Rhinolophus ferrumequinum: one gene and its partners. The main gene of each other region encodes a partner of the protein of the gene in region 4 in a complex. Links are inferred from orthologs where the notes say so. Each region holds a gene or a part of one and is shown on either strand. Other genes may lie near its edges.

Region 1 (7,138 bases), on a different chromosome or scaffold from region 4:
TAACCTTTTAAATTTAAACTTGGACTAAGAAGCTTAATGCCTGCTTCAAATCACTGATGCATAAAAAATACAACTTTGAAAAAGGTCCCATGTGCCCCTGATGAGAAGGATTCTCAACATCAGGGCCTATTTAGTACCTGGGCTCCTGGAAAAGGATGCAAGGGAGCTTTCCTGAAACAGTAGGGAGAAGAAAGGAAACTGTTTTAGTTTAAACCCCCTTATCTTTGGTTGATAAATGCCCCCATAACTCAAAATTTTCTTGTTACCCTTCGTGAAGAAATGTTAGAAGCTCCTTCTGAGACAGCCCAGCTTTCAGATGTTAACTCTTCTAGTATCAGGCCAAACAGTTCACCCAGAACAATACATCCTTGACAAAATGTTATTGTTTCTCCCTGCCATCCTGGTAGCATTTTTGTGGACTTCACCCCATTCTTGGTGGGGAGGGGCTGGATCCTCTCTATTAGGTCAGAGTTGTAAAACAAAACTTTCTGGTGTGGGCCTAAATGGACTTAAGCAAGGGAGAGAGGGGCAGGAGACCCTGACTCTCCATTCCCAATGCAAAACTATGTTTGAAGTATTTTCAGGGCTAAAAATTAGCAACAAGGAATGCCACCTTCTCTGTTTGAAAATGACTGACATAATGACTTCAATGAGCACAGATGGCATCATGATCTGTTTGGAGATGAGGAAGCCGAGGCCCAGAGGATGAGAATGACTTGCCTGGTGTCACACAGTATGTGGCAGAGCTGGGCCTCCACTCTTTTAAGTCTTCTGACTCCTGGTCTAGCTGAGTGAAGGCGAGAGGGCCACTAGATTTGGTGTCAGAAAACCAGTTCTTCCACTTGAGTAAATAACTGCAGGCCCTGAGACTCCATTAATTTGGATTCTAGAACAATACAATCCACCTTACATGTTTGTCTCAAGGAGGAAAGTGAATAACAAACACGGAAAGTGCTCTTTGTAAACTGTAAAGAGCTATGCAAATACAAGAGACCGTTATTACACCACAGGGGAGGAAGGAGAGGCTGCAAAAAAGCAACGCGTGGCACTCCCCAAAACTGGCAAGGAAGATACCACGATGGGGTGGGTAAAAGAATGGGGCAGGGGGAATCCACTTTTCCAAACGAAGACATAAAAAAGCATTCTAAATGTGTGCTTCTGAGAGACAGCCTTTTCAGTTTTGTTCTTTCTGAAGCCCCTAAAGGGTAGGGCCTAGAAAACTTCAAGCTTTCTCTGGTATGATAGCGACTGTTTCCTCCTGCCTGCTCCTGCCAATTTCTGGGAAACTTTTTTTTAAGCACATAAAGATCTTGGGTTCCCACTCGGCTCACTGGGCAGACCCTACTTCTCATCCTCTATGCTGCTATGCACAGGCACCGCCTCCACCCAAGTCGAAAACAATTATATCCCTGATATGCCAATTCTGGGGTTTAACTCAGAGGCCGCAATTAGCAAGACTCTAGGCGCTCGCCTCTGCGATTAGAAGTGTGAGGTTCCTCGCTGGTCACCGGCCCCACTCTGGCGACCTGCCGCTCTGACCGACGGGAAACCCCACACGGGGCGGGGACTCCCCAAGGAAAATAGGGGTCGCCCTCCAGCCGCCGTTCCCCAGGCGCCTCCGCCCGGGACGGGAAGGGCTGGGTGAAGCAGAGGAGGCGCCCTCAGAAAGGAGGCGGAAACGCCTCCCGCCCGACCCCCGAAAAGTCGACCGCGACCCCGCCTCACGTGGCCCCTCCCAACCCCGTCTCTTTAACTAAAGCGACAGCAGCGAGCGCGCATCATTTAGTTTCGCCGAACCCATCTTTAAAGCACACAACTACCACGACCCATTTGTTGAGTTCTGTGAAACCGTTTCCAGGGATCAAATTCGGAGTTGCGGCCACCACGACATGATACGACCCGCCGAATTTCGTTACCTCGCGGGGGGACGAAGGGGATGACGCCTCGAGTCCCCTCCCCACCTCCGATTACTGCGACGGGTCCCAAAACTTACCCGCGGCCGGACAGCCGGCCGCTGACCCAGATTCCGCCTGGCGGCGGTCGGCGCGCGCCCTTCCCGGGGGAGTGGGCGCCGCCGGCAGCGGGTGGTCGCCGGCTCCCTGAGCGACCCCAGCCCGCGCCCGACGCCCAGGGGCCTTGAGGCCGGGGGCGGCCCCCCCAAAAAAAAAAGTTGTTAGCAGCACTGAAGAAAAGTTGGACTAACTTCTCAGGCAACGATGGCTGCGGCAGGGGCGAGTGGGACTGGGGGGTCGCGCCCACGCCTCCCGCCCCCAGGAGGAGGAACTTGGGGAGCGGAGGGCCCCCCAGCACCCTGCTTCCCGCCCCCACGAGGCCAAGACGCCCGACTCCAAGAGAGGTGAAAGGGACTAAGCCCCCATGCACACACAAAAACGCCCCTAGAAACTTGAACCCTTCGCCATTTTAAGTAAAAGATTTTAATGATTTAAAACTTCAAATTAAATATTTCCCCCCGACCCTAACCCCACGTTGGGGTTGATAAATTACCCCTCCCTACACACCCACCCGGACCCCCCGAAACCCGATTCCCCGAATACAGAGCTGGAGGGGAAGGGGAGGGGGCTGAGTCATCTCACCTCCTCCGGGGCTCTGTTCCTTAACTCCAGGTTAATCCTCTTCTTCATCTCCATGTCCTCCTCCTGCTCTTCTGCTATTACTCTCCTCCCTTACCCTGCCCTGCCTTTCCTGCTACCCCCAACCCTCAAATTGTAAAAGGTTTGGAAATGAATGAAAAGAAACGCAAATATAAACGCCCACCACCACCAGATAGGTGTGGGGGAGAAAGAGAATAGCAAATGGAGTCCAAGGAGTTGGGACTCTAACTCGGCTGCCCCCACCTCCTTGTCCACACACTCGTGCGCGCACTCACACGCGCGCGCGCACTCACACACACACACACACACTCACTCTCACACACACTCACACACACACACCCGCAGTTCCTTCCCCTTCAATGGCTGCTCCGAGACTGAGCCTCCATGACACGGCACCGCCAACCCCCTGGCCTACACTCCACCCACCTCCCGAATGTATTGGTTACTTCTTCAGCATCACACTATTCCATTGGACTACACAAATGTCTATCAGTCTTGAGGGCGGACCTGAACCAGAAACGCTGTGTCTATTGGCTACGACCAAGCGCGCAGTTAACTCCGATAGGTCCAGGAGGGTGTTCGTCCGGAAGAAATGATTTTGAATCCCAGTAGCCCCCCTCCTTTTCTTTGTGTGGTTGGCGCGCTTTCCCTAGGCACGAGGGCGGTTTTGATGCCTGTTTGATTTGTTTTTGGGTTTGGTTTTGTTTTTCTGTTTTTAGTGTTACAGGCAGAAAGCATACTTCTTACGTGCCCAAGTTGCGATACTGGTAACTCAGCACGCACAGCTCCTGCTTTGCCGCCAAGGTGCACAGCAACGTGCACGTCATATAAAAAGCATGCCTTCGTGACACTGCCCTGCTGGGGACAGGCTTCTGGTCCAAAACCAAAGCCGAAATAAAGACGGTATTTTAACTTCCACCCACGAAGGACTGAAAGCAGTTGTGTGAAGTATAAGTTAGGCACCTTTAAACAAATTGTTACTGAGGTAGTTGTTGCTGTAATGAACAATAAGACCTTGGAGGAAAAACAGTACCGGTCTAATGAAAATGAGACATCGATTCGCATATAAATAGTACTGCAGTACCTCTCCAATTTCCCTTTGGTTGGTTTCCATGAAAGTCTACAGATAAAATGTGCTTTTAAAAGTCTGTCAATGTGGGATAGAAAAGAGCAGGGTAAGAATCATTTTTAAAATTTTTGTCTTGAGAGCCTAACTTTTCTTAGCTCTTGATTAAATTCTGTCCTTTTTATTCTCTTACACCATTATCAGGATAAATACCCAAAGACAGTCCATATAATGTGGGGAAGGAAGTGGGTGAATTAGTCTAACCCCTCTCAGAGCTGAGTATTTGCTATTTTTCCAGTTTCTCAGGTTGGAGACCTTAGGTTTTACCAACAGACTCCTAACCACTCCACCACCACGCCTCCTGCCCCCCTACAGAGACACACAGCTCCTCAAATAGGATTATGCTTAAAATATAAATATTTAGTATTTAGCATGTTAACTACTTTAAAGGAAAACAAAATAATCATTGCCTTCTCCTTGCTGTTTCCTTTGAATTCCCTGGAAAGGAAATTTTGTGAAGAGGAAAACAGGGAGAGGGAAAGCTTTTGGAATGAAATAACATCTCTAGGGGGCGATTTGGAGTTAGTTAAGTTTGTTAGTTTTAATCAAGCTAAAGGAAGTGAGGATGATATAAAAACTAAAGCAAAATGGATTAAGGAACATTTCAAGGAAGAGTTGAAAAACAAGGGAAGGAAAAAAAGGGCTAAAAAGAAACCTGAAAGCCCATTTTAGTACCAGCTTGAGAAGAAGTCCTGTGTTCTGATCCCACCGCCACTGCAGAGTCTGGAACTCTGGAATGGCATCCCAAAGAGAGTTCTGGGAAGGAGTACATACAGACTTAGGAGTCATCCAGATACGAGTGATAGTTGAGGCCATGAGAAAAAAAATAAGACGCCCACAAAGCATGTATATAAGACTATCAGGCAAAAGAGAGTAAAACATGGTTGAGGGGAAAAAGAGAAGACAGGGATTGTCTACCAAAATAGTCAAAGAAACAGGTAATAAATAAGGAGGTGAATTTGGGGAGAAAAATGTATGGAAGACAGAGTTTCAACAAGAGGTGATTATTGGGGTTAAATGGTAGGGCTTCTGTATCGGAATACATTAGACAGAATGGAGAGGGTGCTGGAAATACTAAATGTGAGGAAAGGCCATGAATTCGTTTTACCGTTGGCTAGCAGCTTCCGAAAGTACACCATAGTAAGCACAGACAAAGGTCTACCAAAGTGGGCCTTTCTCCCCGTACCTAGTGTCCCCGCCTTTATATCATCTCTCATCTGCATTACCTCAAGACCTTGGAACTTACCTGTTTCCAATCTTAATCAAGAAGACAGGATAAACAAGATGCTGGGGGAGGAGAGATTCCCCATAGGACTGAGAAGAGGTTGGATGAAGAACGTTACCAGGCTAGTACATGGACATATGGAACTAAATGAGGGATGAAAGAATGAAATGCAGTCAGGAGAAAATCCGAACTCATGAACTAGAACGTGTTTTAAAAGGAAGTAATGAGGCAGGGTTTAAATGTTAGAACCAAGAGTGAGGTTCAGTAATCAGGAGGTGGTATGAAAGCAAAGGAGCAAGGAGTGGAATGAGTAAGAGGGTGGTTCAGAACATGCCTTTGATCCACCAATAAGAAGCGTTCACCAGGATATTCTTTAACTCGATGTGTCTTTAAGTTTCAAAAACTAAACTCATCTTCTGCTGCAGAATATCTTCTGTTGCCCGCCAGATCCACTCTTCACTCTGTGACTCAAAACCCCACCGAGTCCTATGACTTGCTGGGTTTGGGGGCGGGGGAGAGGGCTGGCAGGAGACGGGTGGGGGGGGGGGGTTGAAGGGGAGTGAGGTTGGAGTATTCACCCCCCAACTTTCTCAGTGGCAGGTTGTTACAGGAGGGCCTCTACTGAAAGCCACCGATCTAGTCAGGGCTGTGGTGGACACGGAAATGCACGACCCAGATTTTCCTTCAGGAATGAAGAACTGATTCCCCTCAGTGCCGGGATGACCTTCCGCTGTCGGCCCTTGTAGGGGGTTACCTCAGCTGAAGAAAAGTGCCTTGCCCAGGGTTAGACCTCCTTCAACACAGAGATATACAGGCCCGGCCAGCCCTTTGCCCCAACTTAGACTAACTCTGAGGGGTCATTCATCAGCGCTCCAGAGCACCCCCAGGGGCCTGCATTGCCATTCACTTTCTCCCACTGCTTCATCCAGCTTTCTTCTCCTCTCTTCCACAGATATTGAATCCAATATCATCCCCCCAATAAATGTTCTGAATGCTATTTTCATCTCAGAGTCTACTTCCTGAGGAACCCAACATGAGACAATGGCCCTCTCCAAAGATCTACCCCCTGAGGAAGCCCAAACTAACGTATAGGAGAGATCACAGGGAGAAGCCTCTGTGAAGAGAATGAGAGGTACCCACCCAGCCCCCAGCTTCTCCTCCCCCTACTTTTCCAGCTCCAGCCACTGTCTAATTGCAACCACATAAGAAATCCTGAGCCAGAACCACCCAGCTGAGCTCTTTCCAAATTTCTGTTCACAGAAACCATGAGAGGTAATAAAATGATCATTACTGTTTTGAGCCTCTAAATTTGGAGTTGTTTGTTATGCAGCAATAGTAACTGGAACAAGTCCCTAGAACAATTTTTCTGATCAAGTCTCACCAGAGCCATTTTGTTCCATACAAGTCATAGGCATTCTGCTCTTTCTAGCGTTGCTTATGCTGTTCTTCTACCTTAACCAAAACCATTTAACCTTCTCCAAATTCGTAAGACTTATTAAATGTTCTATTCACCCAGCGTTTGCCCTGAGCTGCCTAGCCACATCTTCTACATGTCATTTAATTCTGGTTCGCCCAAACTCACTGAAATTTCCTAGAGAGAAACCAAGTCCGTAGCTTGGTTTTCTCTCAGTACTTGGCACAGTGCTGAGCACACAGTGGGTACTCATGTTTAGTAATTGATTATGTACCAAATAACGCTCAGTTGGCAGTTTAATTCCACACTTCCATTAGGAAATATAGAGGTTGGTTGATGCCTTTTTGGGGAACAGGTGATGGAGTGAGAGTGAAGGATAACTCCAGACTGTTCTTTCTCCTAACTTTTTAACCTTTCCCTTTTCCAAACTAGTTAATTTGCAGTCTCAAGACAAATCTATGGCAGTGCAACTAATGCCAACACACTTTCTCCAGAATTCAAAATGATTTGGAACCACCAGAAATCATTCCTACATGTACCAGGCTAGATGTAATGAAAACTGGCAGAAAAGTTGAAAATCTGTATTTCAACCAATGAGAACTCTCCCAAACCAACCCCATTGTCTCCTCCATGCATCTTAAAGTGGGGTGTGCCTTCAGGTAAAAGGTTAGAGGCTTCCTCTCTAAAGAAACTGATCAGCCTGAGACAAGTCCAGAAATACTCACAAAATGGTAGAAAGTAGCCAGATATCTGTGCCATCT
Region 2 (7,143 bases), on a different chromosome or scaffold from region 4:
TGCTTTGACTTGGCGAAAGAAACAATTATCTGATAACATACACTCTTTCACTTGGTCACTAACTTAAATATGTCATGCTTTAATTATGCAAATATACAATGCCTTAATTACCTTCATAAAAAAATAGTTACAATTTTCCCTATAGAACATTTATTTTTGTTGTTATTTCAAAACTTTTTCCAATAGTCAAAGTAGATTCTGAATAGTACAACCTCAGGGTCAAAAACTAATGGTATTAAATCAGCCAAATGTGCCAAACACAATTTCTTACTGAAAGCACCGCTAGACAATTGGCACATTTCTTTTAATAAGAAAAAGTGATAAAAAGATTTTTAACCTCTTGCTATATGGCCTTAAACACCTCCATAATCTCATATCATGTTGAAAGTAGTAGCTACAATCATTTATTTACTTAATACACTATATTATTTATTCTATATAGATTTTCCTTAAATGTGTGCCAAGAATAGTCATCTCATTCCATGTATGCTAAAAAAGGAAAAATAAAATGAATTCTGTTGTTACATAAATTGAGGAAAAGCTTTCTGTTATATCCTTCTCTTGGAGATTTTCAGTTAGTAATAGGTCTTTAAAGATTCTGAGAAGTCTTATGGTTAATATTTTAAAAGTATTTTCCTTTGTTTAAATAAGCATTCCTAACTTACTTGACACAGAGATCTTTTGTTAATACATAATACCTATTAAATTTAGAAAATTCTAATTACTATTAAAAAAATACAAGTTTAAAAAACCTCTAATTTACATAATCTAAGTCCAAAACGCAAGAAAATTTAAAATTTGTAATAATGAAAAGGGATAAAAAAAGTAACCCTTTATTGAATGCCTATTTTGTACCAGGTACTAATTTATCTGTATTATTTTTAATCCTCAGATGATTCTCATTTTACAGATGATGAAAACCCCTCAGAAGTGGTGATGTAAGGTCTGTAAGTCAGTAGAGCCCTGAAATGCACTCAGATCTGACTGACATTAACAATCTGTGCTCAAACCTGTAGATAACACTACTACTTTAGCAAATCTTTAGCATTTCAACTACCTTCAAGTTAAAATGAACTTGGAGAGCAAGCTGGAGAAACACCCAATTCAGACTCCCACACTGCGATCCACTGAATAAAAGAAGGTGGCTCTCAATATTATATTACATTGTATTATGTGCTACATGAAACTGACAAGAATCTGGGAAAGTATATTCACATACAAAGGTATGGATGTGTGTGGGGAAGGCAGTGAAGCAAGGGGGAGAAAACAACAAGCTCTTAGCTAGGTCAAGACTCCCACATTCTGGAATGTTTGGTTCTCTGATCTCTTTTCATGATACTCCTTTCCTCCCTATCACACTCCAAAACCCAGATATTCCTCCACCCCTGCTTCTCTAAGAAGAAAACCTGACAGCATGAGAAACATTTTATGTATAGCTTAAACATAGCTGGAATAAATGGGATCAAGAAACATATCTCCTGTGGATATACCCCACGAAGGCCAGTCATTATTATTATTTAAATAATTTAATTAAGATACCTACATTTCTTCAAGGGAGTGACACACAGCCAAAAAAGTACCCTTGATTATATATTTTAATTATGTAAAATTCATTTCACATTCTTAATTTTAAATATCTGTACAAGGTAGTTGAAATAAATTATATTCACACCACAAAGGCAGAAGGTTTACGAGTGAGGTTTTTTTCAAAACATGAACACAAATCTGGTACTCCTCAGTGTTTCCTTGTTTTAAGTATAAGTTTACTCTAAGTATTTACCTTCTTGTCTCCAAATGCTCTGATTCCATACATTCTCTGAATCATAAACCCTTTTCAGAAACTTCACAGAAGAAAATGATCATATAAACCAAATACTGCTCTACAAAAAGTCAAGTGAGTTCTGGGAAAAAGTCAAGCTATCACTGACAGAAGAAAAGCCAGAATTTTTATTACAGCAGACAGGAAGCTTTACAGTAAAATCCTATTTCCTGCACTCATTTTGAATGACAAAAATATCATACTGTTGACAACAGAGAGTGTATCCTACAATGTATCCGAACTCTTCAAATTTGACACTCCAGGGTCTAAAAAAAGGCATGTAACCAGTGTTTCGATGTTTTCTGCTCTTGAAAATGTTTCAACAGAATGAACTGTAAAAGTGCAAATGCTAAAATCTATGTTCTCTACATAAAGGTTCAAAGCCAGAATTTCAACATTTATGCTGCTGTGCATTAAAACATGTATCTACATTCTCCATGAAGGTATCGGAACGTGTATGGCCCGTTCCCAAATTCGAGAAAAGAACACACGTGCTCTCATGTCTCCCCCTTGTAAAAGCCAGGAGAAAAGTAGCCTGGGAGGCAAGAGGCGGCAAGATTCCAAACTGCAAGTTCCTTTTGACAACTCCTATGTACTCCCAGCCAGTGAGCTGCAGGAGAGTCAACAGCTGAGGGGCTGCAGTCGAAGGCAAGTCAGTCTGACACTGACGCGCGCAGCAAACCAGGGTAAACGCGCCGACTTACTCTGCACCTGCAGGTCCATCTCGCGCATCTCAGTGAAGCGGTCCCGCAGGTCCATTGGAAGCTGCTCAATCACTGCCAAAGGGAGAATCCGTCAGAGGGGCGAGGCCAACGGCGAAAGTACGCGCCTACGTCACTGCGTGCGTGCGTGCGTCGGGGGGGGTCGAGGGAGCCGGCAGCCCACAGCGAGGCTGCCAGTTACCGTGAGAAAGAAACATCCCCCGCCTCCCCCTCCCTCCCGCCATCCCGCCCGTCCACTCGCGCTCTCGCCCGCCCGCAGGTCCCACAGACGGCCCCCGCCAGCGCCGCCCACTCACTTTCCAGATAGTCCTCTAGGTACAACATCGCGGCCTTTAGAGCTGGGGGAACGAGGGGGTCCAGGGGTTTATTTGTGTCACTCGCTGTCGCCGGAGTTTTGTCCCTTCCAATATGGCGCCTCCGCTAGCAGCGCCCGCTCGGCTTCGGCAGGGAAAAAAAAAAAAAGAAAAGAGAAAAAAACCACTTTGGCGCCTGACGGCGCTTGCCTCACTGCCGCCCGGAGCTGTCATTGGTTGGCTGAAGCAATGACGTCAGCCTACCGTAGCCCGCCCCCGCGCTGTTGTGGGAACTGTAGTTCTATTCCCTCCCTAGCAAAAGTGAACACGCTGTCAGTTCTTCACATGGAAACTACAAAAACCAGACGCCACAGCGAACGGTGCGTAACGGAATCTGAAATGCGGTGCCTCTGTTTATTTGTTGATTTTTGCACGGGGCATGACGGGAGTTGTATGCGCCTGCGTAACACAACTAGGAACAACTTTTCACCTGTTCTTTACTGCTGTGATTCCATGCCCCGGCATTTGAGTCTGGATTTCAAGTAGTGCTAGCAAAATAGCAAAGGTTCTAGCGCTAGAATATTCAGCAAAGTTCGGGCAATTTGTACTGTTTCAAACAGAACTCGCTGCTAGAATTTATCCTCACTATCCAATCCTAAAAATACAAGTGGGACGCCTGGTTGGCTTCCACGTAACAATTTATTTTAAGCATGGAGTGAATATGTATTTCCCATATTAAAATATGCAAAAATAGTCCTCAATAGCCTCATATTCTATGTTGCGGTCCGTCTCGTCACGCTAATGGAATGAATCTATACGTACAACCTGCACCCGCAAAACAACAAATACCGAGCAAGCAGAAATAACGGATAGAGCCTTAATAGTGAATGGGCTGTGCTAGCAATAACTTTAGATTATGTTGAGTAAATAGCCTTTGTTAGACGTCTGTAGTCCTGTGCGTTGTCTTTTTCTACCTTTTGACTCCTCCCCGCGAATGTTCACCCGTGACATAGTCCTTCACTGCTTAGTTTTTCTCTGTCTTAACTACGTTGACACTCAGTACAGGTTGGGTGTTATTTTCCACTTAACTCTCTTCGGGTTTCGGGGATACTTGTCTTTAGTTCATAATTTAATGTTCTATTTATATTTTTCATTGGAGTTGAAACACTGCATTTGTGTTACCTGCTTCACCCCGCCTTTACATTTTCTTGTTCTCAAGACTTTTTCACCGCTCTTAATCAGGATACTTACCTGTCATATTAATGAACCCCAGAGAAAACTTAACCCTAATAACGATGACATCATTTAGTTTCTATACTTTTATCTAAAATCAGTGCCTTAAGTTTTCCTCCCACCCTCCCTCTCCTTCCTTCTGGCTGCTTTTAAGATCTCTGATATTGTCGCAGTTTCACAATGATCAATACAGATATGATTCCTTCCTTCCTCCTTCTCTCCCTCCTTTCCTCCAGCCCTCCCTCCCCCTCTCTTTTTCTTTCCTTTTTTTTTTAAAACCATACTGAGTATTTGAGAAGATTCCTGAATCTCAGTATTAGTGTCCTGCAACAATTGTAGAAAATTCTCAACCGTTGTATCTATAGGATACCTCTAAGATAGAGAGCCTCTGTTTCTCTTAAACTTTTTTCTATATGGTCCACCTGGAAGTCTTCAAACACTTCATTTTTAGAAGTTCTTTTTGGTTCTCTTTCTGAGTCATTTTCTAATTTCTTATACAAATTAAGCATAATCTATATTCTGTGTCTGTGAAATTCAATGCTGAGAATTTTATGGGTCTTTTGTGCTGCCTGCTGTTTCTTCAAGCTTTTGCTTATGGTGCCTGTTTCGGTGCAGGTTGTGATTTTGGACTCTGCATGCATGTTTCTGGGCTGGTAACTATGGGGATTCATTGAGGCCCGAGTAAAAAGGGAGTTTTCCTAAAGAGTATTAAAATTTGCTTCAGCAAGTTGCCTGGAGACACCATAAACCCTAGAACCAGATGAAGTTCTCCACTTCCGGTTTATTGGATTGCACAAATAGATTGAATTTGGGTCTCAAATCTGAACAGATTTTATAGATTCTCGGGAGACTTCTTCCTTTCCCAAGTTCCAAGGTCAAGATGGGCGTGTTTCCTTACTGACCATCAGGTTTCTTTCTCAATCACTCTTACACTGGGAATGTAATCCTTTGGGCCCCAGAGTTTTGTCTCTTATTAGACTCCTCCTTTTTCATGGGTCCTTGGCTTTATTTCCTGACCCTGGCATCTGCACAGCTATTAAAGCAGGAATTCAAGGTGCCCAGAATTTGACTGATAATCTCGTGGCAAAAGTCACATTGACCCTCCCTCATTTCTCAGGATTTTCTTCTCATTTTTATTCCTTCTTTTTTGATTTTCCCCCTCTGAGCATTCCTTCATTTCCTATCAGTTCATCAATGTATTTGATTTTTTTTTAACCCAGCATTTTTTGTTTTCAGCAGGTGGCTCAATCAGAGTAGCTAACATGCAATTCTGTCAGAAATAAAAGAAATGGAAGTCCATCCTTTCAGTGTAAACTGAGCTGCTTCAGGGAGTTTTTCATACTAAGGAAAATGAGATAATAGATGGTTCCCAATTCAGTGAACATGCATACACACTGTAGAGAAACTAAACAAATAACAAAACTAAACACTACATATTTTAGTTAATGTAATTCTTATTCTTGGACCCTGTATCAGCTGCAGAAAATTGTGTATGTACACACGTGTGATAGCTTCTTACATCATTAGGTCAGATAGTAGATAGCACTTGGAGTGTCTACTTACTTAACACCCACTACTGCCTTTCTGGGCCAGGCCCCTCATATACAGGAGTGACCATATCTGTTACATTACTGTGCTCCCTGATCATAATGCATTAATTTAACAGGGACAGATCAAAGCTGGGCATACTAGATGCACTCTCTTTTGATCTGAAACTGGAATGTGGAGACGTGGAGACTGACGGCGCTGTGGCAGAACTGCATTCATTGCAGCACAATACATCGTGTGGTCCACAGGCTGCTGTGCTGAGATCTACCAGAGCAGCTCTAGGTTTTCTTCCTTGGATTTTTTCCCCTTTCTCTGTCACCTTCTCTAACATTAGTTGTATCACCTCCAGAAAGTTATTTTCACACTCTTGGCCTCCATTTCCTGATCTGTAAGCTGGAAATAGCAATAGTAGCTAAATCATAGGTGTGTTAGATTGAAATGATATCATCTATGCAGAGCACTTAGGTTCAAGTATGGTGAGTGTCACGACACAATAAATGTCAGCTTCTAGTACCATCCTCATTAATGCCATGAAGTCCCCTCCTCAGTTACCCATATTCAAATGCTCCTTCGTGCTGCTCTGAGCTTTGCCTTGTGCCCCTGGTCATTCTGAGGCTGGACTCCTCCTAGACCCACTGAAGATTATCTCACGTACAACAGTTGTATCGCCACTGTCATACTCCATTCAACGGAGAAATGATCCAGGGAGGCTCCGTAAGAGTACTGCACTGAGGGCTACTGGCTAAGGAGGAGGAATCAGAATGTAGGGAACAGATGCAAAACGTGGATGCAAAATATGAGTGTTACTAAGAGTCCAAGAGAAAGGAAAATTGAAATCCTTCATATAGCATCTCCTCAGGGGAAACCTTGGCTTTACGTCTTAAGGTTCTGCCACTTTCCTATTGAAAATATTCAAAACTTTGAATATTCTCGTAAAACTTTGAAATGAAATATGTTCTTAACTTTGTGCCAGGCAGTGTATCCTCTCTGACAGACCTCTAAAACATGGGAAGAAAGAAAAAATGCGGTCTTTACATGAACCGCTCTAATTTTACATTTTAAAAGTCCATTGAGTCACTCACTGGATCAGTTATAAGCAGCAGGATAACAGCCTTCACTTTACATATCTATGAATGTTCCAGGCTTTTCTACTCCTCATACCCACTAAAGAGACGTCTCTAAGGAAGGCTGTACTTTGCAGACCTGGCTCCTGGGTGTTTGTGACAAAGAATATGGAGAAGAGGACAAAGGGAAAGAAGACAAGTGACTAAGGGGTGGAGAGTTAAGGAGATTTTACAGAGGCGGTTGTTATATAGGGTTTAGTGGGTGGCATATTGAGAAAGGATGGATAACTGGATATGAAGCCATCACAAAATCTTTCCTTCAAAATAAATGGAAATTCTGGAAGACATATAAGAAAAAAGCTTGAAACCAAGAGAAAAATATCCCAGGTGCCAGAAATAAACAGTAAACTCCACGTTGGAGCTAAAAGAACCAGAGTGTTTATAGGCCTTTACTGTTGAGTCTT
Region 3 (7,326 bases), on a different chromosome or scaffold from region 4:
CTATATAATTTGCTTTTACCTATAAACAATACAGTGAGAATACTTTTTTCTTATTAATAAGTGGTCTTTTACAACATTACTGTATAACATATTACAGTTTATTTAGTCGATCCTCAAGTTTTAGATATTTAAGGTGTTACCAACTTTTCACTATTAAAAATCAATGTTGTGATGAATGTCTTTATAACTAAATCTCTGTACACTCCCATGATTATTTCCTAAATATCAATTCCTATAAATGGAACAGTGGGGTCAACGTGTTGTATGCCTTTAAGGTTTTGATATAGTCTGCCAATTTGTTCTCTAGAAAGTCTGTATCAATTGTGCTTTAACCTCTAATATTACCTAAGTGACAACATCAGAAATGTTTAACCTGTCAGTTATCAAATCTTTAATATGCTTTAAAGAGCACAAAATCATTTCTTCTGAACTTTAAAATGTAATTTTTGACAGTATAACTACAGATGAAGCAGGAGCTTGCTTGTTTATGGATGCATTAAATAACCACATTAAATATTTGGAAGATTTGTATAAAAAAGATTGAGGGATAGGAGAAGTAATTTATCCTTTTTGTTTTTCAACAATTATCCACTTTCACTTAAAGGAATAGTTCCCTCTCTCCTCAATATATTTAAAGTTCATTTATTTCTAAAGAAAATATCAAATTCAAGTACAAAATAAATATCATTAGTGAATACAGCTCCAAGATACCATAGTAGCATTAGTATCACTTGATTCTAAGGTAGTACGAGTTTTATGATGGGGAAAAATATAATATCAACTATGATTATCTGTATGTTTATAGATATGATTATCAACAGATATCTATATGTGATTTTACATAATCTTGGACACTTTTCACTTTTGAAGTTTAAAAAAATGATGAAGTCTTACAAATCATATATAAAATTCTTACAACTTTGGTATACAGTTAATAAGATAGAATCAAACCCTCCCATATACTATTCAGAATCACTCTAATAACTTACCCTGTGTTTCTTCAGGTTAGAAAGTTCATCCACAACAATTTTTTGTTCTTTAATCTATTGAAATAAAGAAAACTTCTTAAATCAGAGGTTCTTGAAGTATGCTGAATGAGGGCCCATTAAAAAAAAGTAGAGATGGGATAAGGGGCTATAATGTACTGATTGTCCAAATTGGCAATCTGTGAACACAGATTCTTTTCAACAGCAGTCTGTGCGAGGGTACAGGTGTGGAAAGGCTGAGGGACGAAACAGCGATTAAACTTGCCAAGTGTTAGACAACCCACTGAATCCAAACAGAGGGTTTGGTGTTGGTAACCAGCATTCATTCAAGGGCCATGGTTAACAATCAAGGTTTTTATCTTTTACTTGAAACAGACACTAGGCACCAGTTTTTCAATGATTTCTTTTATGTTTTAGCTTATTTCAATAATAAATAGCAAATGGAATGAGGGGTGGGCTACTTCCCCCTCCCCACCAAATACCAACACTTTTCATGATTTGTGTACTATATGGTGCAGCCCAAGCACGTGTACTAAATGCTGTACCTGCAGTAAGACCTATCACTTTCCAACTTTCTTCATTAGTCTTTGTATGCCAAAGACTGGCACAGCGCTGACACTGCTGAAGGAGGCCTCACTTTTTATAAGTAGGAAAGGACTCAACTAAGTGGAAACTGAATTTCTAACTTTTTTCAGTAATGGTGGTTATTTTGTGAACATGACTGATCACATAGTATCACTAGTATCTCTAAAATCAGGTTTTATAATCTGTTCTGCCTCACTCCTCAGGGATCTGTCATATCAGTGTAAGTGGCTTGCTATGGCAGTGAGTGGACTATGTGTGGTTTGAAAATTCACCCACCAGGAGTGTATATCCCTCTGTCTTTCCAGCTAAGTCAGTGCAGTAACTGACTAGACTGAGTTAAATTGGAAGACCATGCACAACCTCCTTGAAACTTAGGTTTGAACATCGCTTTCCCATTCATTTTAGGAACGGCAGGTCATTTTTCTCTTTACTTCAAACAAGGAAACTGTGATACAGAGGGATTAGAGACTTGCCCAAGATGTCAATGTTAGTTTGGGTTTGAAGCAAAGAATCGAGGACATCTGTATCTCAAAGGCTATAACCATCCCCATCTCCAACATATTTTTAAAGGTTTTGTCTTTTAATGCCAGTTAAGATTTATATTATACTGGCTTCGTTCCCCCTTTTTGGAGGGTGGAGGAATGACAATAAGACGTGTGTTTTAGGATCGATTGTTGCTCTGGCTAACGTGGAGAATAGATTGGAAGAAGGTAATGATGGATGATAAAGGGCGTTTGAAAGTCTTTGCTGGGTTTCCGATGGTAAGTAGATGAAGGTGGCTGGTTTAGGATGGTTAAGAGTGTACACGGTGACAAAGGGACTTATGTGAAATGAGCTTCAGAAGCAGAACGAATAGGACGTGATGGACGTCAAGGATGATTCCCAACTTAGTGGCAGTCTTAATGGATGGTGGACAACTGAATGGATGGCGGTGACACTTTCTGAGATGGAGAATATCGGCAGCGGATCTGGGTTGGGCAGTATTTCTAAAAATTTAATCCCAACTAAATCTCCGCCCCACTGCCCCAACTGGGTCTAATTTCGGGGCAAGTTTCAGGATCCCCCTTAACTGTAACTGTCCAGAGCTAAGAATAAAAAGAGCGAAGCCGAGGTGGGCAAAGCCGAGGCCGGGCCATGCTGCAGCGGTGGGCATTCTGAGGCCCAGCGGCACCCCGTCCCGCGCCCGTGGGCCTTCTCGCCTTGTCCCACACTCACCTTGAAGCTAAGCTCCTCTTTGTGAGGGGCCGAGTTGTCGGCTGGGACCAGCCCGGCTCCGTTTTCTGGGCGCGCCTCCCGGAAGGGAATCTCCATCGAGCGCAAAACATGCAGGATGCGCAGCCCGGCTAGCGCCTCAGCAGCCTCCGAGCCCCCCGACTCAGTACGTCCACCATCCCAAGGCTCCACCTCCTCCCTCTCCCCGGTCCCATGAGTCCTACCAATAGCGTCTGCGCGTTCACTGCAACGCCTGCGCAGTCCGGGTCCGGTATGAGCGCAGTTCCGCGCGTGCGCACAGGTGCTGAGGGAAGCGCGTGAGCAGAGCCGGGTTGTGAAATCTGGGAGGTTCCTGAACAGTCCCCTAGTGGATCCGATATAGAAAGACTTTTGTGACCTCTTCACATTCTCGCAACCAGTAGACTGTGAGTTGTATGCGCCCCCTAGTGGTAAATATGAAGAATAGAAACGCAGTAGAAATTCTAGTTAATATTTTTTATGTAGCCGAGGCCCAGATGTGAGATACATTGTTGGCAACGAAACTGTACAGACTTGGTAAAGCTTTTGTTAACGTGTTATTGGGGTTAAAAGGGAAATGCAGGATGCCCAGTTAAATATGAATTTCAGATAAACGAATAACTTTTTAGTATAAGTACGTCCCACACAGTATTTGCAGTATCTCACTTCTATGGGAAAAATTATCCAAAACTTGGGAACAGGCAAGAAATTATTGGATGTTCTTTCAGTGCTTTTGTGGGCTTGACTTTCTATAGACTGGGCAATTTTACAGTTCTGTAGGGGCAGAGGTTAACCTGTAGATTTTTGTCTGGCAGAGATGCAAATAATTTCTATTTGGTGGACCGGATAACCCCACAGGTTATGATTTATTGTTCTGTAAGGCATTAACCAGTTTTGTGTCTAACCCTGCAATCCTACACTAACGCGTCTTTATTAACATAGGCCTATCTTCTCACAGACCCTCTGAATTGGTTTAAATGTCTTACCTGTTCCAACATCAGTTAATGAGTTGAATAAGATTTTGACATATGTTCATTTTATATTTGCATGACAAATATGATTTTATATTTTTGAAAATTATACTTTAACATTGAAAATCTCAAGTTTTCCTGAAGCTGCCCGTGTGGACTCATGATGGAGCCAAACTCTGCTAAGGAAATGTACCTCATAGGTTGTTTAAGCCCAGGATTATCTTTTATTGGCTCTTTGAATAAATTCAGAGTGGTTATAAAACTAAGTTTACTGTTTGTTTTCATTTTTAAGGATTTAAAAAAATTTTGGTTTTCTTTCTGATTTGTGCGTGGCTATTACACATTGGTAGCAGCAGCGATTGGGAATTGGGCTTTATGGCCTAATCATTCAGTGATATCTGTTGGGTGATGGAGATCCAGTCTCTATTGGAAGAGAGATGGCAGAAAATCCAGTTTTTAATCTTTTTGTTTGTCCTTTGCAAGCTCAAATTAATTAAGAATTTTGTGCTCATTGGAAAGACCAGTTTTTTGAGATATGGGCTAGCGAATTTTTATGTTTACTTTCAACCTGAGATAGAGGTTGGAACACTGAAGCTATAAAGTGTCTGTGTCTGTGTCTATGATTTAGAATGGCTTGTATATCTTGCTGTGAGAATGTAAAATGTTTTTGTACTTTTGGAGGGTATTAATAAATTCCATTATAATGTCTCTTAAATTAAAGGGCAGTCTATAGACATAATTATGCACTTGTATAAATCCCAAAATTCAAAAAAAGCCCAGAATTTCTAATACTTTAAATGTGCTAGACTTTTAAGAAAATAAAGTCCTTCTGCTAGCTTAGAAACATTTGAAGCATATGTTTGGAGAAATTAAAGTGAATTTTTGGAGAAATCAGACTGGATTAATAATTTGGGTTTAAGAGAGAAAATGCATTTATCAATGCTAAGTAAAATACAAGTAGATGTTTTATTTTTTATGACATTTAGATTTGTTTTCTCATGAAGAGATTATTTAATCTGAATTTCCTAATTCATACACTGGTTTACTGATTAAATAAGCTAGCATTACTGCTACAGAATATTTAAATTTATGAGAAATGTAAATTGGTATTCACTAAAATGAGTAATTATTCAGACAAACTTTTTATGTCAACAATAATTATATTTCGTACCGTATAAATTTAAACACAATTCCAAATTTTTAGGTAGCTTAAAACCCTGAGAAAATATCAAATGGAGTTAATTAATGATTAATCATTAGATAACTAGATAATTTATTTTAAAAGGTGAATACTGAAACAGTGATTAATATAAGCATAATTTTAAGTTTACATACTTTTGCTTCTTGTTTTTATATGCCATAGAATGGCTATCCTTTTGGATAATGTAAGGGACATGTTCATTTTTGACATTTTCAGAAGGTGTAAAGGGAATGTGTGTGGCTGTAGACAGTTATGTGTATGAATGAACTTTGTTTGCTAAAGTGCTTGCATATGACAGTTACTAATTATCTACCTCCAGTTCTCTCTATGAAACAGAAGTTATTAAATTGGTTAAAAGTTGTAACTAATATGGGTGGTTAAGATCACATTAAAGGCAAGAATAATAGAGAATGCAAGGTAATGGGATGAGTCTTGTTTTGTAAGGAAAAAGAGAGTTCTAAAGTAATTATTTTGTTTCAGAATATGAAAAAGCACAATGAAAGACAAAACTTGAGGAATTATATAGTAGGTTGAAGATGATTTGATGAAAGATGATTTGCATTGGCTTATAATACCTAGCGCCGAAAAGAAACTATGAAATATGTTTAAATTTTGGCACAGTACATTCAGTTTGGAAGCCTTATTCACAAGATAATTTTTTTTAAACTTTACTGCCAAATATTATATTAATTAAAAACTGAAATTTCGTCTTTTCTTAACTCCATTCCCCCAAATCTTTAGGGTTCACCACAGTTAAGCTGGTAGGAACCTAGGAACATGTCTCCCCTGACACCTGGGGTGACATTTTAATTAGTGTTCAGAGTGATGGTGACGTTTGAAGCTGAAGAGACACCAGCATATTGGTCTACTTTGTAGACCAATGTGTGTTATTGTGTGTATTGTATTATTATCCTGGCTAATGTATGATGTATATTACTAGCCTGGCTTCCAAGGTTTAGATGAATATTACCCCTCCTCCTATGGCAGTGTCTGCCTGACTGGGAACTCTAGTTAATGCTTGAATTGACTCTTTGACCCACATGATTTCCATACTGAGTGGCCAGAAACCCTACTGATTGTTCTATAGCTGTTCATGCCCTTTTGGGGGTGGGCTGTTGGTTATGGCTCTGCCTGGTGCTGATATTTCCACTGATTTACATGGGTCACCCAAGATGACATAATACTAAATGCAGTAGTGATATGATAATCTTATTAGTATGGTGCTGAACTGTTTTCAAAGTTCTTTCACATTTTATCTTATTTTTTTGTGTTTCTCCAATTGCTTCTATTTCCCCCCTCAGCTGTTGTAACTCCGGCAGTGCTTGAAGTCACACTTGGTATCATTTGTCTAACTGGTTTAGGACTACCCATCAGCAGCTCACCATGTAACTAGCTCGGCTGTACTTCTTCTTTCATTTAAGTCCATTGCTGTTGTTTATTCTACTTAATAGGATAATTTCATGTTTATTAATGCTATATATACACTTCCTCTGATGCTACATTCTTAATGTATTTCATTTTGTTTAATAATGCATAGTTTACCATTCACCATTTTGTTAAAGTGATGTATATTATTAGCCTGGCTTCCAAGGTTTAGATGAATAGTACCCCAACCACAGTTTTCCCTTGCTTTCTCATAATACGGATTTGTCTCTAGCCACAGATTTGTCTCTAGCCACAAAAGTCTCTTTCCCATCTCTCCCAAAGGAGGTATGGAATAGGGCTGTGGTCCCCAAATGCCAGTTAGTAGGTGGGTGCCCTTCTCACTATGTAAAATCACCTGAAAGTCTTGTTCAAATACAAATAGATTTCTCAGTCCTTTTCCCAGACTTATTAAACCAAATGTTTGTGGATGGAATATGGTTGTCTGCTGTATAACATAGTGCTAACCATTTAACCTTTAACCAAAATGGCTGGGTTTGAATTTTGGCTTCTCCATTTATTAGATGTGTGAGTTTGGTAAGTCATTAACTTCTCAAGCCTCAGTTTCCTGATCTGTAAAATGGGACTAATAATAGTGCCCACCTCAAAGGGTTGTAACGAGGATTAAATGAGTTAATATTTGTAGTGTTTATTATAACAGCTACAAGCACATAGTAAGCACTATTTAAGTATGTGTTAAATGGATGAATCAGGAGTTCCTTCAGATGATTTTGACACACAGGTTTAGGAGCCAGTGGAATGGACAAAACTAGGCTCTGAAATGTTTGGCCCAGTTATCTTTGAAGATATGTCTTCTCTTTTACTTCCACTGATTTTCAATAGGGCTAGCTAGGGCTGTTCCAAGTTGATACTTTCGAAAATAGGTGGAGGCTCATTTGGTTGTTACAATGATTGGCTAGTTCTGCCCATT
Region 4 (7,585 bases):
GCTTGGTATGTCCGAGGGACAGAAAGGCTACAATGACCAAAGTATAACAAACAAGAATGGGAAGATGAGGTTAAAAAGGCAAGCAGGGGCCAGAACTCAGAACAGAATTTTAGAGAGTCCACAGTAATATTTGGATTTTATTCTACATGTAATGGGAAGCCACTGAAAAGGTCTTAGGCTATGTATCATGTTATGATGATTTGTTTTTAAAAGATCTTGATGGCTGCTGTGTGGAGGAACAGACAGTAGGAGTACAAATGAGAGTAGTGACTTTTAGCCTGGGGACCAGAGATAGTCTCCAGGAGCCCACAAACTTTCTGAAATTGGAAATGAAATTGGAAATAAAAGTGTGCGTATATGTTCATCTGTACATTTTTCCAGGGAGAAGATTTACAGCTTTCATCAGATTTCCAAATTAACCTATTAAGGGCTAAGAATCAATGACATATACTACTAGTTTGCCATCAGTTAACCATCCCAAGATGCTACAAAATAAATGCTGTATGAGGTTAAACCTGTGGCACCTTAAGATTCACTAAACGCCTTCCAAATCCTCAAGATCAAATTCCTTGCCTTAAGGGAGGCCACAGCTCTTCTCTCTGGGCAGTGACAACACTACCCTATTAACAGAGTCTTGGGAATCTATCTTATCTCCTCTACCACTATTCCCCATGTGTTGTAGAGAAGTACCTTGATCCCACACTTATGACAGCCCCTAAGAAACTGTGGGTTCAAGGAATGCGTGTAGATGTGCTATATTCCATTTCTGGCTCAGCTGGAAAAGCACAGTGCCCTTAACAGAGCCTAGAAGCTAGTCTTCGGATGCTGCATTTCTAAAAAGATAACAGAGCCACTATGGTTTTTTCCATAGAACCTGTCATATCATAATCCTCAGCATTGAAAGTCTTTGGGAAATTCAAAAGAGATAGAAGAGACTTTCCAAACCTTGGATGTGTACTCTTATTCACACACTAGGACCTCTTCCATTTAACCTTCGTCAGTTTAGGCTCCAACTTTTCTCTAGTGAGGTATGTTCAGTGAGTACTAAAATTTAAAAAAGTGGAAGGGCCTTTAAAAGATCACCTAGTCAAACTCTCTCATTTTTCAGATGAGGATATCAAACACCAACAAGACTGCTGATGTGACCAGAGTCATACAAGGACCTGGTAGCTGAAGTGGAATGCCTATTAATTCAATAAATAAATACCGAGCCCCTATAAAGAGTCAAGTTCTGGATATTTAATAATATTAATAATATATTTATGCTCAGGAAGCTCATAGTTGTACAGAGGCATACAGCATCAGAGTTAAGAGCATGGATTCTGGACTTGGGTTTAAATCATGGCTCTACCACTACCAGCGGAGTGACCTTGGACCTACCTACTTAACATCTGTGAACTACAATTTCCTTATCTGAAATGGTTCATGATAGTGGCATACATGCTAAAGGGTTTAAGGGTAAAATGTACTATAGTCTGCAACTTATTTTGAAATGCAAAAGTGGACTGGTGGATGGATAAATGAATATATATATATGATAAAGCAACAGAGTAAAATGTTAACTGTAGAATTTAGGCACACAGGTATTCAATATACAAGTCTTACAACTTTTTGTGTGTGTCCTAAAGTCAGGGAGAAACAATTATTAGGGTGGTGAAAACAAGACAATGGAGATAAAGCTGCTTAGTACAGTGCTTAGCCCATAGAAAGCACTCAACCAATGTCAGCTATTTGCTGTAACAGGTCCTCAGTAAGCAGAAGCTACATAAAGAGAAATTTGAAAGCCACCTTGACCATACCAATATTTCCTTTTTGGAAAGACGATGCTCAAAATGGAAGCCAGAGACCTTTCTTTGGTCCTCTGTATTAGTACAATTAGGGGAGGAGGAAACAGTCTCAATTAAGGTTTCTGTAGCTGCTAAGTGGGGAGGCCAAGAGGCATGGATCTGAGAGCACAGCAAGCTGAGAGAGCACTAATTTGTGTACACGTGGGTACAAATACACGAGGGTACAAATCCTACCGTTATCATTACTAAACTGAGTGGCAAGAGTATAGGTGAAGTGACCTCTCCCACCCTCAATTTTTTAATCTGAAAAAAAAAAAGCTTGAATAGTTTTGTGATTATAATGTAATACTTTTGGACTTAGCATAGTTGCCACTTAATAAAAGTAGATTGAATTGGAATGGTCAATAGGATGCTGAGCATGAGTGAAGCAGGCTGCTCCTCTCTGTAACTCCCACTTCCCTCCTTCAGGTCCCAGGCCCTGGGAATCAAAGTGAGCTTTTTCAGGTTGATCACTCCCGTACTTTAAAACCCCCACAGCCTCCCACTGCGTTCATAAAAATCCAAATTCCTTCCCACGGTCAGCAAAGCCCCGCAGGAAGTGGTCTCCAATAAAATATAATAATTACTGGCTTAAACGTTTGTCGTCTCTCACCACACTAAAATGTAAGCTCCATGAGAGCAGGAACCTCATCTATCTTGTTCCCCGCTGGATCCCAGCGTCGCAAACAGAGCATGGCACGGAGTGGAGGACTCCCTCAAGACTTGCCAAAGATGAAGCAAGCAGTCAACCGCCCCCGTGGGGCCGTCACCTGCTCTTCTGGAACGGCTCCACTCCCAGTCCATGAGGCGCCCCCTCGCCGCCCCCACAGCCAATTTTCACTGCTCCGAAGAAACGTCAGCGGTACACCCTAGCGCACACCCAGGTCTGAGCCCCCACCTCAGCGGCCCCTCGCGGCGGCGGCGTGCTCAACGCCCCGATCCCCTGGCCCGCCCGCCACACCTCTCGCGCGTTCTCCTGGCCCACGAGCCCCGATGCCGCTTGCTTGGCCAGGCCGCTCTCGTCCAGCCCCAGCCCCTTCACGTGGCTGTGGGAGGCGATGCGCTGCGTCTTCGTGGTGCTCTTCACCTCCTCAATCTTCATCCTGCAGACGTCCGGAATCAAGACCTGAGTGGAAAACCAGGAGACAGTTGCCCAAACCCGGGGCCCAGGTTACCATGCGGCAGTTACTAGAGCGGTTTGTCAGGGCCCGCCTTGGTCGGCGATCCATTGGCGAAGGCGGAAACGCCTCTGCTCTCCATTGGCTCATGACTATGCCCATCGCGGCGGCCGTGGGGGCTCTCCCCACCCACTTCCGGCTGTGTTGCCGGATTAGCATCCCCCGCAGCCCAAGCTTCCTGCTCTGGCCCGGGGGCGGTAACACAGAGAGGATAAGCTCGAAGTTTCGTCTGGGGCTGGGACTCTGCACTGAGGTGTGAGTCTTAACCGTGCCATCCTGTGCATTTCGCATTGGACCGTCATATCCTTCAGAGAAGTTCAAGCTCTTACCTCCGTTTTGGAGATGGTGAAACAGGTTTACAGCGAAAGCTTTGACTTTTGCTTACTGAGTTTTCAGGCTCCCACGCCTTTGCGTCTCCCGGGGAAGGCCCACCCCAGCCAACCACTCCCACCCATGTGCTGCTGGGTATCCTCCATGGAACTGGCCTCTGCTTCTCCTGGCTTCCACCCTCTCCCTTTATTTAAATTAAGTTGGCTGCAAATAACATTTTATGTTTCCAAAACTCTACGACCCAGTAAGGTAGTATAATTCCTAATATAGATAAAGACAGGCTAAAACAGGCCCAATAACCTTGCACAAGAACGCACAGCAAGTAATTAACAGAATTGGAACTCCAGCTGAGGATTTAAGGCTTCACAGCCTGTATAATCTTCATCCCATCCCACAACCTCAGATGAGACAATCAGCCAGCAAATATATCCTGTCAGGCTCCATAATGATATTAACACTCCCTGTACCACAGTGTACTCTCCCATCCATCCATTCATTCAGCAAATATTTGTTAGCACCTGCTTTGAGCCAGACACTGCAATGTACTAGGAATACAGAGATAAAATACAAAATCTCCAGCCTTGATAAGCTTAGTCCTTAGTTAGGAAATTTGCAACATTAGATGTGCAGGAACATGTACACCCCACCTGGTGTGCAAGCCCAGAGCAAGGCCACCTAGAACAGCCTCGAATGCCAGGGAAGGCGTCATGAGGTGATAATGCCTGGGCCAAACCCTGATGAATGGATAAGTCTTCTTCAGAAGCAGGTGGCATGTCACCTTTTTACAAATGAGTAAACTGGGGTCCAGAGAAAGGGAAAGACTTGCCCAGAACATAGGACAGCTTACATTAGGGTTGAGACAGACCTGAAGTCAAATCCAGCTGCAGTAGTTCCTGACTCACATCCCTTTGTACTTCTCCATTATAACTTTTGAATCTGGGTTTCTAATTAGTTTGCAAGAGTATTAGGTCAATGTTTGTCTCTCCCACTAAACTACAAACATTATGAGAGTGTAGACCACATTTGTGTTGTTCATCATTTTAACCCCAGTGCCTGGTACACAGCCTGGCTCACAAGTAAGCCTTCTTATGAATTCAAATAAGATTCTAGACTCCCCACATACACACTTGAAATCATGCAGTTTGCTGCATGTATTTTACAAACTGGGTTTTCTGGGACTTGGTAATGGTTTCTATCAGTAAATGGAATGTTGTGGCATTTTCAGAGCCCAAAAGAGTAGAAGCAAGGCCTTGGAGAGCTGAGGTTGTTACTGATGACCTGCGATACATCAACCCTAGGGATATCACCTCTAGGACACCCAGAAGGTTGCTTAGCATCTCATTAATTTATTCCTGGTTATGACCCTTGGTTAAGAGCAATTCCTTTCACACTGTGAAAGGGGAAGACTTTCTTCCAACTAGTAGTCAAAATGAGGTACTGTATGGAACTAACTTCTTTGTGTATTGTCCAGTTAGGAGAGAAGACCATTTTTACATTTATTATTTGGCACAGAGTAAAGGGAAAGATTTCCTACCAGCCAAATATGGGGGTAGGAGATAAGGACTTTGGAGTTTAGAGGAATTCCTAGGAGCCCTTGGTCCAGTGGTTTTCAAACCACATTCCCTGGAGTTGTGGTATTCTTTCATGGCCACTATGAGTGGGGAAGGGGAAGTCTGAGAGTGCAGGATACCTGTTCCATGCCCCTACCTCCCCTTCCACCAGAGCTGTTCCATTTTTTTTTTTTTTTTTTACTGCTAATGAATAGTTCAAAAATCACTGATCTGGCTTAGCCTTCTCATTTTACAGGTTAGGCAACAGAGGCCCTCAAAGGGGATGGAAACTGTCCAACTTCACAAATGGAACAATTGCCTGACAGTCCTTGACCCCAGATTTGGTGTGCAAAGAAGCTAGACCTGGTTGCAGAGCCAGACAGTTCCTTTCATTTTGACGGAAGTCTATGTGGTGGGCCAGTGTCCGAGATACACAAGGTGAATGAAGGGCAGTTGAGACCCATAGTAGTAGACATGGGTTATTTTACCTACCCAGAATCCATTCAAATTCTTCTGGCTACCATCACTCTAATTTTCTTTAGAGAACCACCCTTCCCCCACTTTGAGTCCAAATCCTTTGGATGGGTTGCCCCTAACACCCAGCGTTATTTTAGGGATGGACACAGAACTCTGGCCTATCAAAGTATCTCATCTGCCTGGACATGGAGATTGGTTTGGGAATGTGAGTGAACAGTCCAATGACAGTCCTGGCACTTTTACTGGAAAAATCAGGAAAGAAAACTTGGGTCATCGGTTTCCAGGTCATCTTTGTCACTTCATAGGAAGACCGCCTGAGAATGAAGCCAACACATAGGAAAGGAAAGCTGACAGAGATTCCTGATAAATTCCTTTACATTCCCAGATCCAGGCTTGCCCTTCTTACAATGTTGTATGGCACTCACATTGGGGCTTAAAATAATTTGAGTTAGGTTTCTATCTGTGGGTATTGAAAATCCGCATCAATGTGATGATACATATGCAAATAATTGTGTGGACTGCTACATTCCAGAATTGTGCTGTGTGAAAACACCAGAACTGCCAATTCTCTCACTCTTTTCACTCCCATGACCCTTGCTGTGTCAACTCCAATCCCTCCAACCCATCTTTTTTACATTCCAAGTTTGCTCATCTCAGCCACTTGGTTTCCGACCCTTCTGCTCCCTCCTTGCATTGACTTCTTTCACACCTGACCTTTGAACCCACATGCCCAGATCAAGACTACCTCTACCTTCTCCACTGCCTCATGAAGGCTGCTGTGTATGGCGGCAGGCAATTATTCAGTGTCCCCATGGAGCCATTACACTGTCATGGTCTCCAGCTTCAATTGAGCACACAGAGTTGCCCAACTACTGATTAAATGTCATATTAGTTAGGATATTAATTCAGCTACAGTAATGGAGAGATACAAAATAATAGTGAACTAAACAAGATAAAATTTACATTTTTTCACATAAAGTCCAAGCAAGCATTCCACCTGGTGAGTTCTATAATCATTAAGAATCTGTCCTCCTCTTTCTCTTATTCTGCCATTCCCCACACACACCTTCTAGTGCATGGCCCTAGATAACTGCTCAAGCTCCCCCCTAAAGCCTATGTTTGAACCAACAAGAAGGAGAAAAGGGGGAAGGGAGGCTATGCTCCTTCCATTTAACCTTGACCTCAAGTTGCATCATCATTTCTACTCCTATTCCAATGGTCATACTTAATCAAATGGTTACAGATAGCTGAAGAGAGGCTGATAAACATAGTCATTAGCTGAAAAGATACATGTCCCCACTAAAAATTCTATTCCCAGGTAAAAAAAGGAGAGAAGATAGATTGGGAAGCAACTCTTCCTCTCCACCCTAAGTTGCAATCTGCCGGGCATTGCTGGGTTCTTCTTGTGTGCTGACTCAAAGACACACATGACCTTCCTCCTAGTCAAGGTATCTCTACTAACTGGGTTCCAGATAACAATCTGGGCCCCACTACATCTCTCAGAGGCCTTTCTCCACTTATTACCCTCCTTATTCGTATAGTTCCACCTATTCTCCCTGATCATTCCCCACAGGATATAAACATACTCAATCTTTCCCATCTTAAAACACAGATCATATTCAATGATGAAAGACTGAAATTGTTTTCCCTAAGATCAAATACAAGATAAGGATGCCGGCTTTAGCCTCTTCTATTCAACATTCTATTGGAAGTTCTAGCTAGAGCAATTAGTCAAGAAAAAAAATGATCACCCAAATTGGAAAGGAAGAAGTTAAACTACCTCTATTCTCAGATGACATAATCCTATATATAGAAAACCCTAAAGAAAACACACACACACACACACACACACACACACACACACAAACTATTAGGGCTAATAAATTCAGCCAAGTTGCAGAATACAAAATCAACACACAAAAATCAGGATATAAACATAATCTTCCCCATTTTAAAACACACAATGATAGGTTTTGCAGAAATAGACTATCCCATCCTAAAACTCGTAAGAAATTTCAAGGCACCCCAAATAGCCAAACAATCTTGTAAAAGAAAAATAAAATTGGAAGTCTCCTACTTCCTGCTTTCAAAACTTCTTACAAATGTATAGTGATCAAAACAGTGTAGTACTGGCATAAAGATAAACATATAGATCAATGGACTAGAATAGAGAGCCCAAACATAATCCTCACATACATGATCACAAAATATGGTGAATGTTTAA

The links.
Region 1: RUVBL1 (region 4) and ANP32E share a complex: the UniProt entries of both Homo sapiens proteins name them as parts of the SWR1-like complex. The link is inferred for Rhinolophus ferrumequinum from reciprocal best matches to the Homo sapiens genes RUVBL1 and ANP32E.
Region 2: RUVBL1 (region 4) and ING3 share a complex: the UniProt entries of both Homo sapiens proteins name them as parts of the SWR1-like complex. The link is inferred for Rhinolophus ferrumequinum from reciprocal best matches to the Homo sapiens genes RUVBL1 and ING3.
Region 3: RUVBL1 (region 4) and ASDURF share a complex: the UniProt entries of both Homo sapiens proteins name them as parts of the PAQosome complex. The link is inferred for Rhinolophus ferrumequinum from reciprocal best matches to the Homo sapiens genes RUVBL1 and ASDURF.

Annotation. Positions count from the first base shown.
Region 1 is NC_046305.1:50,609,261-50,616,398, forward strand, and holds the start of ANP32E (acidic leucine-rich nuclear phosphoprotein 32 family member E), read right to left. Parts: upstream 3,014-7,138; 5' UTR 2,649-3,013; coding exon 2,595-2,648; intron 865-2,594; exon of another isoform or gene 721-864; intron 1-720. UniProt on the Homo sapiens protein: Histone chaperone that specifically mediates the genome-wide removal of histone H2A.Z/H2AZ1 from the nucleosome: removes H2A.Z/H2AZ1 from its normal sites of deposition, especially from enhancer and insulator regions.
Region 2 is NC_046309.1:22,924,848-22,931,990, forward strand, and holds the start of ING3 (inhibitor of growth protein 3), read right to left. Parts: upstream 3,004-7,143; 5' UTR 2,866-3,003; coding exon 2,838-2,865; intron 2,596-2,837; coding exon 2,524-2,595; intron 1-2,523. UniProt on the Homo sapiens protein: Component of the NuA4 histone acetyltransferase (HAT) complex which is involved in transcriptional activation of select genes principally by acetylation of nucleosomal histones H4 and H2A.
Region 3 is NC_046291.1:39,096,421-39,103,746, forward strand, and holds the start of ASDURF (ASNSD1 upstream open reading frame protein), read right to left. Parts: upstream 3,025-7,326; 5' UTR 2,883-3,024; coding exon 2,787-2,882; intron 1,044-2,786; coding exon 990-1,043; intron 1-989.
Region 4 is NC_046302.1:1,213,529-1,221,113, reverse strand, and holds the start of RUVBL1 (ruvB-like 1), read right to left. Parts: upstream 3,025-7,585; 5' UTR 2,929-3,024; coding exon 2,725-2,928; intron 1-2,724. UniProt on the Homo sapiens protein: Possesses single-stranded DNA-stimulated ATPase and ATP-dependent DNA helicase (3' to 5') activity; hexamerization is thought to be critical for ATP hydrolysis and adjacent subunits in the ring-like structure contribute to the ATPase activity.